Linked DNA regions of Caenorhabditis elegans. The protein of the gene in region 1 interacts with the protein of each later gene in a pairwise test. Each region holds a gene or a part of one and is shown in the gene's direction. Other genes may lie near its edges.

Evidence for each region. The genes of interacting proteins can lie anywhere in the genome.
Region 2: the proteins of dpy-7 (region 1) and gras-1 interact in a two-hybrid assay, tested with the Caenorhabditis elegans proteins (one large-scale study listed by BioGRID).

The regions. Positions count from the first base shown.
Region 1 is NC_003284.9:7,535,255-7,539,604, reverse strand, and holds dpy-7 (Cuticle collagen dpy-7), read left to right. Parts: upstream 1-1,812; 5' UTR 1,813-1,816; coding exon 1,817-1,972; intron 1,973-2,151; coding exon 2,152-2,952; 3' UTR 2,953-3,138; downstream 3,139-4,350. Other genes in the region: glb-16 (GLOBIN domain-containing protein), read left to right, coding at 241-353, 413-552, 600-810, 865-1,124, 1,170-1,295, 1,373-1,471. UniProt on the Caenorhabditis elegans protein: Nematode cuticles are composed largely of collagen-like proteins. The cuticle functions both as an exoskeleton and as a barrier to protect the worm from its environment. Mutations in dpy-7 affects the body shape.
Region 2 is NC_003279.8:7,833,543-7,837,874, forward strand, and holds gras-1 (General receptor for phosphoinositides 1-associated scaffold protein 1 homolog), read left to right. Parts: upstream 1-2,265; 5' UTR 2,266-2,284; coding exon 2,285-2,392; intron 2,393-2,443; coding exon 2,444-2,660; intron 2,661-2,709; coding exon 2,710-2,949; intron 2,950-2,997; coding exon 2,998-3,170; 3' UTR 3,171-3,425; downstream 3,426-4,332. Other genes in the region: F30F8.1 (RING-type domain-containing protein), read right to left, coding at 1-155, 202-403, 452-642, 691-1,005, 1,050-1,226, 1,272-1,523, 1,569-1,657, 1,703-1,799; F30F8.9 (Letm1 RBD domain-containing protein), read left to right, coding at 3,522-3,598, 3,686-3,807, 4,062-4,177.

The DNA.
Region 1 (4,350 bases):
TACTTCCTTGATTAAAAGTTTCGTGCAATATCAGCATGACCATTTCTTAAAACCCATTAAATATTGTCTTTACATCGCCTGTCGCCCACAACTAATTCGTCAATCTGGCACCTCGTTATCTTTTTTTCTGTTGCGAGAAACACATATGGCATAGGGAATCACAAGCATGACATTATTTTATGATCATGAAAAAATACCGTAGTTATTTCACATTTTCATAATGCGAAGCGTGAGTTCTAGCCGGACCGTTCGAAAGAAAACTGGTGGAGGATCGGTCGACTCAAACATGGAAGACGGCAAGCAAGCAAGAAAAAGCAGCAGTATGCCAAGTATCTATGATTTACAACAACAAGGTAATTTTAGTTTGAAACATTTTTTTTTTATTTCCAATTATTGCGAACTTCTATTCCAGCAGCACCACCGACGCCTGCCTTGAAACACTACATCTACGACACTCGCTTGAGCAAAATACAGAAGCGTGCAATCAGATTCACCTGGCACCGACTACAGACTAGAAACGGAGGAAAAAGAGTGGAAAATGTTTTTGAAGAAGTAAGCTTCGTTGTGAGATGAGTTTCATAGTAAAAATAAAACTACAGGTTTTTGACAAGCTCGTGAAAAATCTGCCAAACATAAGAGATATGTTCTCGACGAGGATGTTTCTATGTGCAATGTCACGTGGAACTACTTCCACATTACGGGATCACTCAAAAAACTGTGTGAAAATGATTGACTCTGTCATAAAGAATTTTGATGTGGAAAAGTCGAAGAGAACGGACACTAGCTCTGAAAACGACCCGAGAGTAATTGGTATGCAGCATATGTTTAGAAGGGTTTTTTTTTGCTAAATATACTCATTTGTAGGACGTGCACATAGCATCTTGAAGCCATATGGTCTTGCTGGAAACTACTGGGAAAAGTTTGGAGAAGTGATGATTGATGTGGTACTGGCGCAAGAGGCAGTGCGAGATCTTCCGGGAGCTGGACAGGCTTGGGTAATTTTTACCGCTTGCTTGGTGGATCAGATGAGAGCTGGATTTGATGAGAACAGAAAAACTGACCATGAAGCTCAAATGAAAAAAAACACGGTTTTGCACCACGCTACGCAGCAGCTATTGGAAGACGTTAGTTCGAATGTTTCAAAAAGTTTTAGAGATGTTTAGTTTAAGAATGTGGCATCCACCTCAGCAACAACTGCATCGTCTGGAAATGGTGAGTGTTCGAGCTCCAACCAACCATCCACGAGCTCCAATCAACCGTTGGCATGCCCATTTGCAAGAATGTCTCTGACGCCTGTGAGTTCTAATAGGATTTTTGCATTCCTAGTTGATAAATGTTCTTATCCAACGTTTTGCAACTGTACACATTTCAGAAGGACGCTCGTGTGATCGAAAGTCTCTCCGGTAGCGGCGGCAGCGGCAGCAGCGGTAACGGAGACATCAGTGACCTCTCGGGAACAATCTATTTGTAATCTCATTCCACGATTTCTCGCAACACATCCCTTATATTCTACATTCCTTTTTCGCATGTACTCATCTCTTCTCGTTTGGAATCTTTTCTTATCTCCGATAATTGGGTTATTGTGTCGATAAAGACTGACCTATTTAACAGATACACTCCACCTTCATCCACCTTTCCGTTTTCTACAATCCATGTTCTTTTCAATTCAATTCATTTATCACACCCTGTTCTTTTTTTTAATTTATATTTTTTGTCAAAACTCGAAATATTTTTTCTACCGCTCTGTGAAAACAAAACAAGATTCATTCTGAATGAAACAATTTTTAAGAATATTCTTACATTTTGTTCCAGATAAATGGAGAAGCCCAGTTCGGGGGCCAACCACGTGGCAAAAGCCACCGTGTCACTCAGCATTGCCAGTGTGCTCATTCTTGGAGCAGTCTTGACAATGCTCAGCATTCAGTTGGACGAGGCTCACGAACGTCTTCAAAATAGAATGGGCTCCTTCAAGGTTGGTGGTGCGTATGCGTGAACGTATGCGTGAACACTAATGCGTGAAAACTAGATGTGCAAGCAAAATAAGTAGAAGATGTAGAAAATGTATGAAAAAAAAAACAAAAATCAGAGAATAAAACTTGGAGATCTAGTAGAGAAGTAATGAAAACAAAAAACAACCATAGTTTATTCCAGTTCGTTGCTCGCAACATTTGGCATGACATTGTTTTGGTGAAGAGCAATGGAAGAATCAAAAGACAATATGGGGGATACGGAAGTGATAGTGCTCAATCCGACAACCAACAATGCACATCTTGTGTTCAACTACGATGCCCACCAGGGCCAATTGGACCACCAGGAGTTAGTGGAGAACCTGGAATGGATGGAGCTAATGGGCGACCAGGAAAGCCTGGACTTGATGGGCTTGATGTACCACTCGATCCAGAACCAGCATTCCCATGCGTAATTTGTCCGGCTGGCCCACCAGGAACTCGAGGACCACAGGGAGAAGTTGGACGTCCAGGACAGACTGGTGAATCAGGACATCCAGGTCTTCCAGGAAGACCAGGAAAGCCCGGACGCGTTGGAGATGCTGGACCACAAGGTGAACCAGGAGAGCAAGGAGAGCCGGGAATCAAAGGACCACCAGGAGATGATTCGATTGGAGGAACTGGCATTAAGGGGCCACCAGGTCCACCAGGACCAAGAGGACCAAAAGGACCACCAGGTTCGAATGGATTGCCATCTCAGAACAGTGGGCCACCAGGACCGATTGGAGAAATGGGACCACCAGGACCACCAGGACCAAGGGGAGAGCCAGGACCACCGGGGCCATTCGGGCCACCAGGAGATTCCGGAGAACCAGGAGGACATTGCCCATCATCTTGCGGAGTTCAGGAGATTGTTGCCCCGTCCGTTTCCGAGTTGGATACCAATGATGAGCCCGAGAAGCCAGCACGTGGTGGTTATTCTGGTGGTGGTTATGGAAAGAAATAAATCCCTTTCTCTCTTTTTTTTTGAAATGATTTATTGATGATTGGTAGTCACCGAAAAACCAATATCAATGTTAAAGCAACTATCGTAGTATAATTCAAGCCCCGTTTAATTTTGTTTTGCCATTTCAATCATTCCACTCACGTCGTTACAGATTTATTAATGTGCTTGCTTGTGTAATAAATCATTTCTTCGAAAACTAATTTTGAGTATCTGACAAGAAATAAAGCATACATGTCTCAGACTCGGTACAACCCATACGCATAGACACATGAAGCAAAAGCCAAAAGGTATTGAATAGGAAATTCAAGGGTTAACGGCCACGGTCGTAAACTCGAAGACATAAAACAAGGAGAAGAAGGCGACTGGAAAGGCAGCTGGCTGTCAGGGCAGACAACATCCACATGACTCTCGCGCACATACCACAGAGGATAAAGATAGGAGATCCCTGAGAATATCGTTCTGACTACTGTAATGACCTGCAGCAACGAGGGGTGTTAAGTAAAATGAGCTTAATTATATGTTTCGACCATTAGTGGGTTCTACCCATGAAAATAGCTTATGATATGGGTTATGACTTCTGTGGAGTTCTTTTACACTATAAAGAAAACAACATTATATAACACAAAATTAAACCATTCTGATACATTTTCAATGACAAGATGTGATGCTTTCTTGTCTTTTGACGCGTCCCGCGTGTATAATTCAGTTTCCTGACAAGTCATAAGTTGTAAATATTTTATGATTGTTCACCATGTATTCCATTTCCAGAAGCTAGGAAAAAACACAACTCAAGACTGTTTGTTTCCATTCTTATCTTGAAAAAATAACGTTGGTATGAAATTTGGGACATCGTAAAAAATGGTATAATTTTAAAAAAACGGTCTTTTAAATGCTAATATAGTGTACGTGAGAAAATAACTTTCTGAAGTATCTACTCAACGTGTTATTTTCCAAAAAAATTGCATTAAGTTAAAGCTGATTAATATTTAGTTTTTTTTAATTTGGTTTACATGTTTACAAAAGTCAAGAGCCAAAAAATCCAAATTGTAAAGAAAGTCTTTTCTGCAAAACTGTATACATCAATGTCTGAGATGCAGATATAAAATAGTATAAACAAAAATGGAGTAACGTCAGTAAGTGATATTATTGAAGCTGGAAAACTGAGGTAACTTTACTTTTCGAGAAATCTTAGGCACTTCCGAACGCCTGAAATGTTGGAATATAAATATTTTAAACATCATTAGAACAAAAGTTTGAAAGAAAGCTTTTTGATCGATCATTTTCAAAAAAAGTCGGAAAGTGAGTTTCCCCCGTTTTTTGATTAGAAATAAAATATACTTACATTTTTTGAAAAGTGTTATCATGATATGCAGTCATTTTGGCGCAAAGGAAATCTTT
Region 2 (4,332 bases), on another chromosome or scaffold:
CCAAGTGAATCATTCCAAATGAACCAACTTCTCTCGCTTGTCTGATCTTCGCGCCCAATTGGATGAACAAGCATTCCACGTCCTTTAATACTGATTTTGTTTGGAGCAGGAAGCTTTGCAGAAATGATACAATTTGGATGCCCAAAGAAACGAAACTGAAATTTCAATGTTTGAAAATTAAAATTTCGTATTATAACTAACTCCTCCATATTCGCCTGGATTAATGACCATGAAGTAGACATAATCTTTTGTATCTGCGCGGGTGTCCGGAATTCTAATATGACCGAGACGTGATGAGTACACGTGAAGCATTTTGGGATCCGATTGACTATCTCTCTGGATCATTCCCTCTGCTAAGAAGGGATACGTTGCCTTGAACTTGGTGCGTACATTGCTCTCAAAGCTAAAAAATCGTGTTCTATTAAAATAATAATTCATTAGGACAACTCACTAAGCGTCTGTAACATTTTTCAGCTCTGTGTTATCCATATTGATAAGAATATCTGTCGCCAAATTGCAGTACTCTGTTTGGTTCATTTGTTGAAATGCTTGGACGGTAGACGAGGAAGATGTACCACCTTGTTGACCAGTTTCTGATGATTCCCATAGAGTACCCATTGAATTCGGAATGACACGAGAATTCTAAAAAATGAATTTAATTTAAATCCCATTTTCTTAATTTTTTTAAACCATTTGCTGTTGATCAAACTGATTTGATGTTCCTTGATTCATACTAAGTTCATTCAACTCTCGCCGGAGAAGTTCTTCCCTCTCTTGGGAACGTAGACGAGCAGTTAATTCAGTGAACATGTTAGGAAAAACCGTTTGACCCGGAAGATATGGAAGATCAATGTTTTCAATACTCTTTCCGCTGGCAATGAATGGTATTGTTTTATTTGGATCGATGACGTCATTGTTTTGAGAAATGTTAATAGCAGCATCATTTGACTCAGAAAGCCATGTACTTTGTTCAATTTGTTCTGCTGGAATCAATACACTTGGACGCTGCAACTAAAAAATTTTGAGAGAACTGCAAAGCTCTAATTTACCGGGAACTGATGACGCTGGACCATTTCAAAAACCCCATCGAGATCAGCGTTCAACTCGGAAGACGGAACTTCACCCTGATTGTTGGCTCCATGATGAATATTTAAGTTGTTCACTTCTCTTATAATTTCAGCTGGAGCTTCATCCACTTTAGGCTGAACTGAACCGAGTTTGCGTGTCTGTCAATAAAATTCATTAAACGGGAATTAAAAGTTAAAACCAACCAGGACAGGAATTGATTGAGATGAAAGACGACGTTGTGATGAAGCTGCCAAAGTGGAACTGGAAGGAACAAGCGCAGTATCTAAGGCTGGGACAGATTCGGAATTCGACAATTCTTGGATTGGGAGAAGCCTTTGTGTGAACGAGTTTCTCACTCCAGCAACTTGACTACTAGTGGGCACCTCTGACGATGTAAATGATTGAATTTCCTGTCGAAGAGATTGAGGTGGTACTTCACTTGAGCGAACCATGTTCTGGAAACATATTTTATCAATCAGAATATGAAAACAAAGTAAAACCGTTTGCGCGATTTGCTGAGGAACAGAAGTACTGGTTGGTAGAACTGCTTCACCAGAGAGTACAGGTGGAGGAAGCGGCTGGGATAAATCTGAAAATCGACTTGAAACTTAGGTCATTAAAAGTTTCCACAAACCTCTCTGATTACCAGCGAGATATCGCTGAGGATTCATACAGAAATTCCTCGTAAACTCATTTACTTGTGCTATATATTCAGCATAAGAATCATTCATCGCGAATGATCCTTATTTTGACAAAAATCAAGGGAATTTTCACAAAAGTAGGAAAAGTATTTAGGAACGAGTTTTCGAAAGCTGAAATTTCGAAAGCGTGTCATGTGTTTGCGTGTTTCAGTAAATACCGTAACCTTCATATATTTCAACAACAAATAAGAAAAGGTGCGCACGCGCTAGTCATTTGTTTGGTCTTTTAGTCGTTTATTTTTTTGCATGATGATTGTGTTTTAGTCACTTTTTACTTAAGTTTAATAATTTTATATGCTTTCTTCTAAAGTTATTACCGAATTTCCCATTATAAACTTTGCGCGTCGAATCTGGCGCTTGCGTACATGTTTCTCGTCTCTAGCTTTTCCTTTCATCTTCTCACCAATTTTACAACTTATCGACTTTGTTTCGAGTCTTGTGTTGTTTAAACATTTAAAAAACTCTAAAAACATGTTTTTTTGTTTAATATATGTTATTTCAGAGTTTCTGCTTTTATGGATCACATCGACGCTCATAGTGCGGTTTCCACGAGTTCGAGCTCTTCAAAATATGATACGCCGGATGACAATATTTCTGAACAGCGACTATTGTGTGACGCAAAAGTAATTATTTGATTCTCCATTGAAGAACAACCATAATATTCGTTACTACAGGAAGAATATCCACTGAATGATTATCTTTTCGATGGGATCAATCAAGAATCCGCACAACGGAGCCTTCTTCTATGTCGTCAAACATTTGAAACTTCCTTTGGCTTTGCTCTCCAATCATATGTATTCAAAAGAACATCTTCAAACAGTTACGAAAGAATAACTTATGTGGATTACGTGTCGGCTGATAGCCCAGCTGATCGCTGCGGGATAACACGAGGTATTCAATCATTTAATTCAGCTTTTCCTGCCAACTACTGCAATTTTAGGCGACATGGTCATTGCTGTCAATGAAAAAAGCGTCGTCACTGCCTCCCATGCAGAAATCGTCGAATCAATTGCTCAGTGTCTTCAAGTCAGTCTCGTTCTGGTCTTCAAAGATGTAGCAAGAATCGTGGAATTGAGCATGCGGTCGATTCAGTTACGATTCATGCTCGATGCAAAAATTAGAGAATTGAGGATGCTCGAAAAGACGGAAGAAGATTTGCAAGCATTATATGACGATGAACGTAAGTCGAGTTTACGGTTATTATTTTGATTATTTGTAACAATTTTAGATGGCAATGAGGAGGAAGACGAATCACTTGAAAGCACGCTTTACGAACTTGATGAGGAGCTAAAAAATGTACAAAATCCACAAGAAAAGGAAGCAAACGGCACTGATTATCGCCATCTCATTCGCATCAACAGTAGCACGTCTGTTGGAACTCCCCAAGTCACGCGTCTCTAGTAAAATCAATGTCTTTCATATTTTCACGTTTATCTCTGAACACTCATGGGTAAACATGTATACTCTAATTATATATTTCGATCCCTGGTACATAGTTGTACATATATGTATTTTAACTTCCTGTCTCCGCCCAAAATTTGCCATTTTATTCCCATTCCAGTCATTTTGATTCCCACAAACCTGTGATCATGGTTATGATTCTAGCCTGCCTGTTATACTATTAGTTTCAGGAAATAACATGAAGTTTTATCTACTATTCCTGACACAATTATTTCAATTATCCATGAGGTTCTGTGCCTTTTCTACTTTTTCGTTTGTTTTTCCTTGACAAAACTACTTTTTTTCAAACAGATGCACTCATTGTCAAGGATTCTTCTTCATCGCAGTAACAGTGTGCTCAATTCGCCTACTTTTCTTGTTGCTGTTAGGTAGACCTTTTCATCATTAAAACCTGTTTTATTCTGAGTATCCGTTAAATTCAATATTATCCCTCTAAAAAATGTGTTCTACTTCAGACAAACATCAGCCGGTCCACCTCCAGCCACTCCAGCTAAAGAAGGATCCTTGACCTACAAGTATGAACAATTTATTGGAAAATGGCCTAAAGTGTTGGCACTTCACAGGACTGTTCTTGAAGGTGAGGGAGTTCTCCGATTAACTTACTTACTTTTGAAATTCAAAAATGACATTTTCTGATCTTTTTTATTTTTATTCAGAGATCTTGACATGCTCTCTTAAAGTCGCACGGATTTATTCAGATGGGTCTCGGCGCAAAGTTTATGGCAACTTAAACTTCGCCCCGTGACTCATCTGAATAAATCCGTACACCTTCATGAAGGAATGCCAAAATCGTGTAAGATTACAATATCATCTTGTGAATCATATATTCAGGCTCTCGATGGTGCTTTGCCGATGTGAAAATGTATTTCAAGACGAAACGAGCTGTGGCTACCGGTCAGAAGAAGCTCACAGATCTCAGCGTTGAGGAATTGGAGACACTTGTTCAGGTAGAAATAAACTACGGAAAAGGGTCTATTCGTTGTTCTTTTTCTTCATGAATAGACTCAAATTCTCCCTTTTTGTTTTTATTTTCTATTACAAGGATAGTCAAAATACTAGCAAATTATCTAGAGTGGAAGCGAATTGATCAAAATGCTCACAC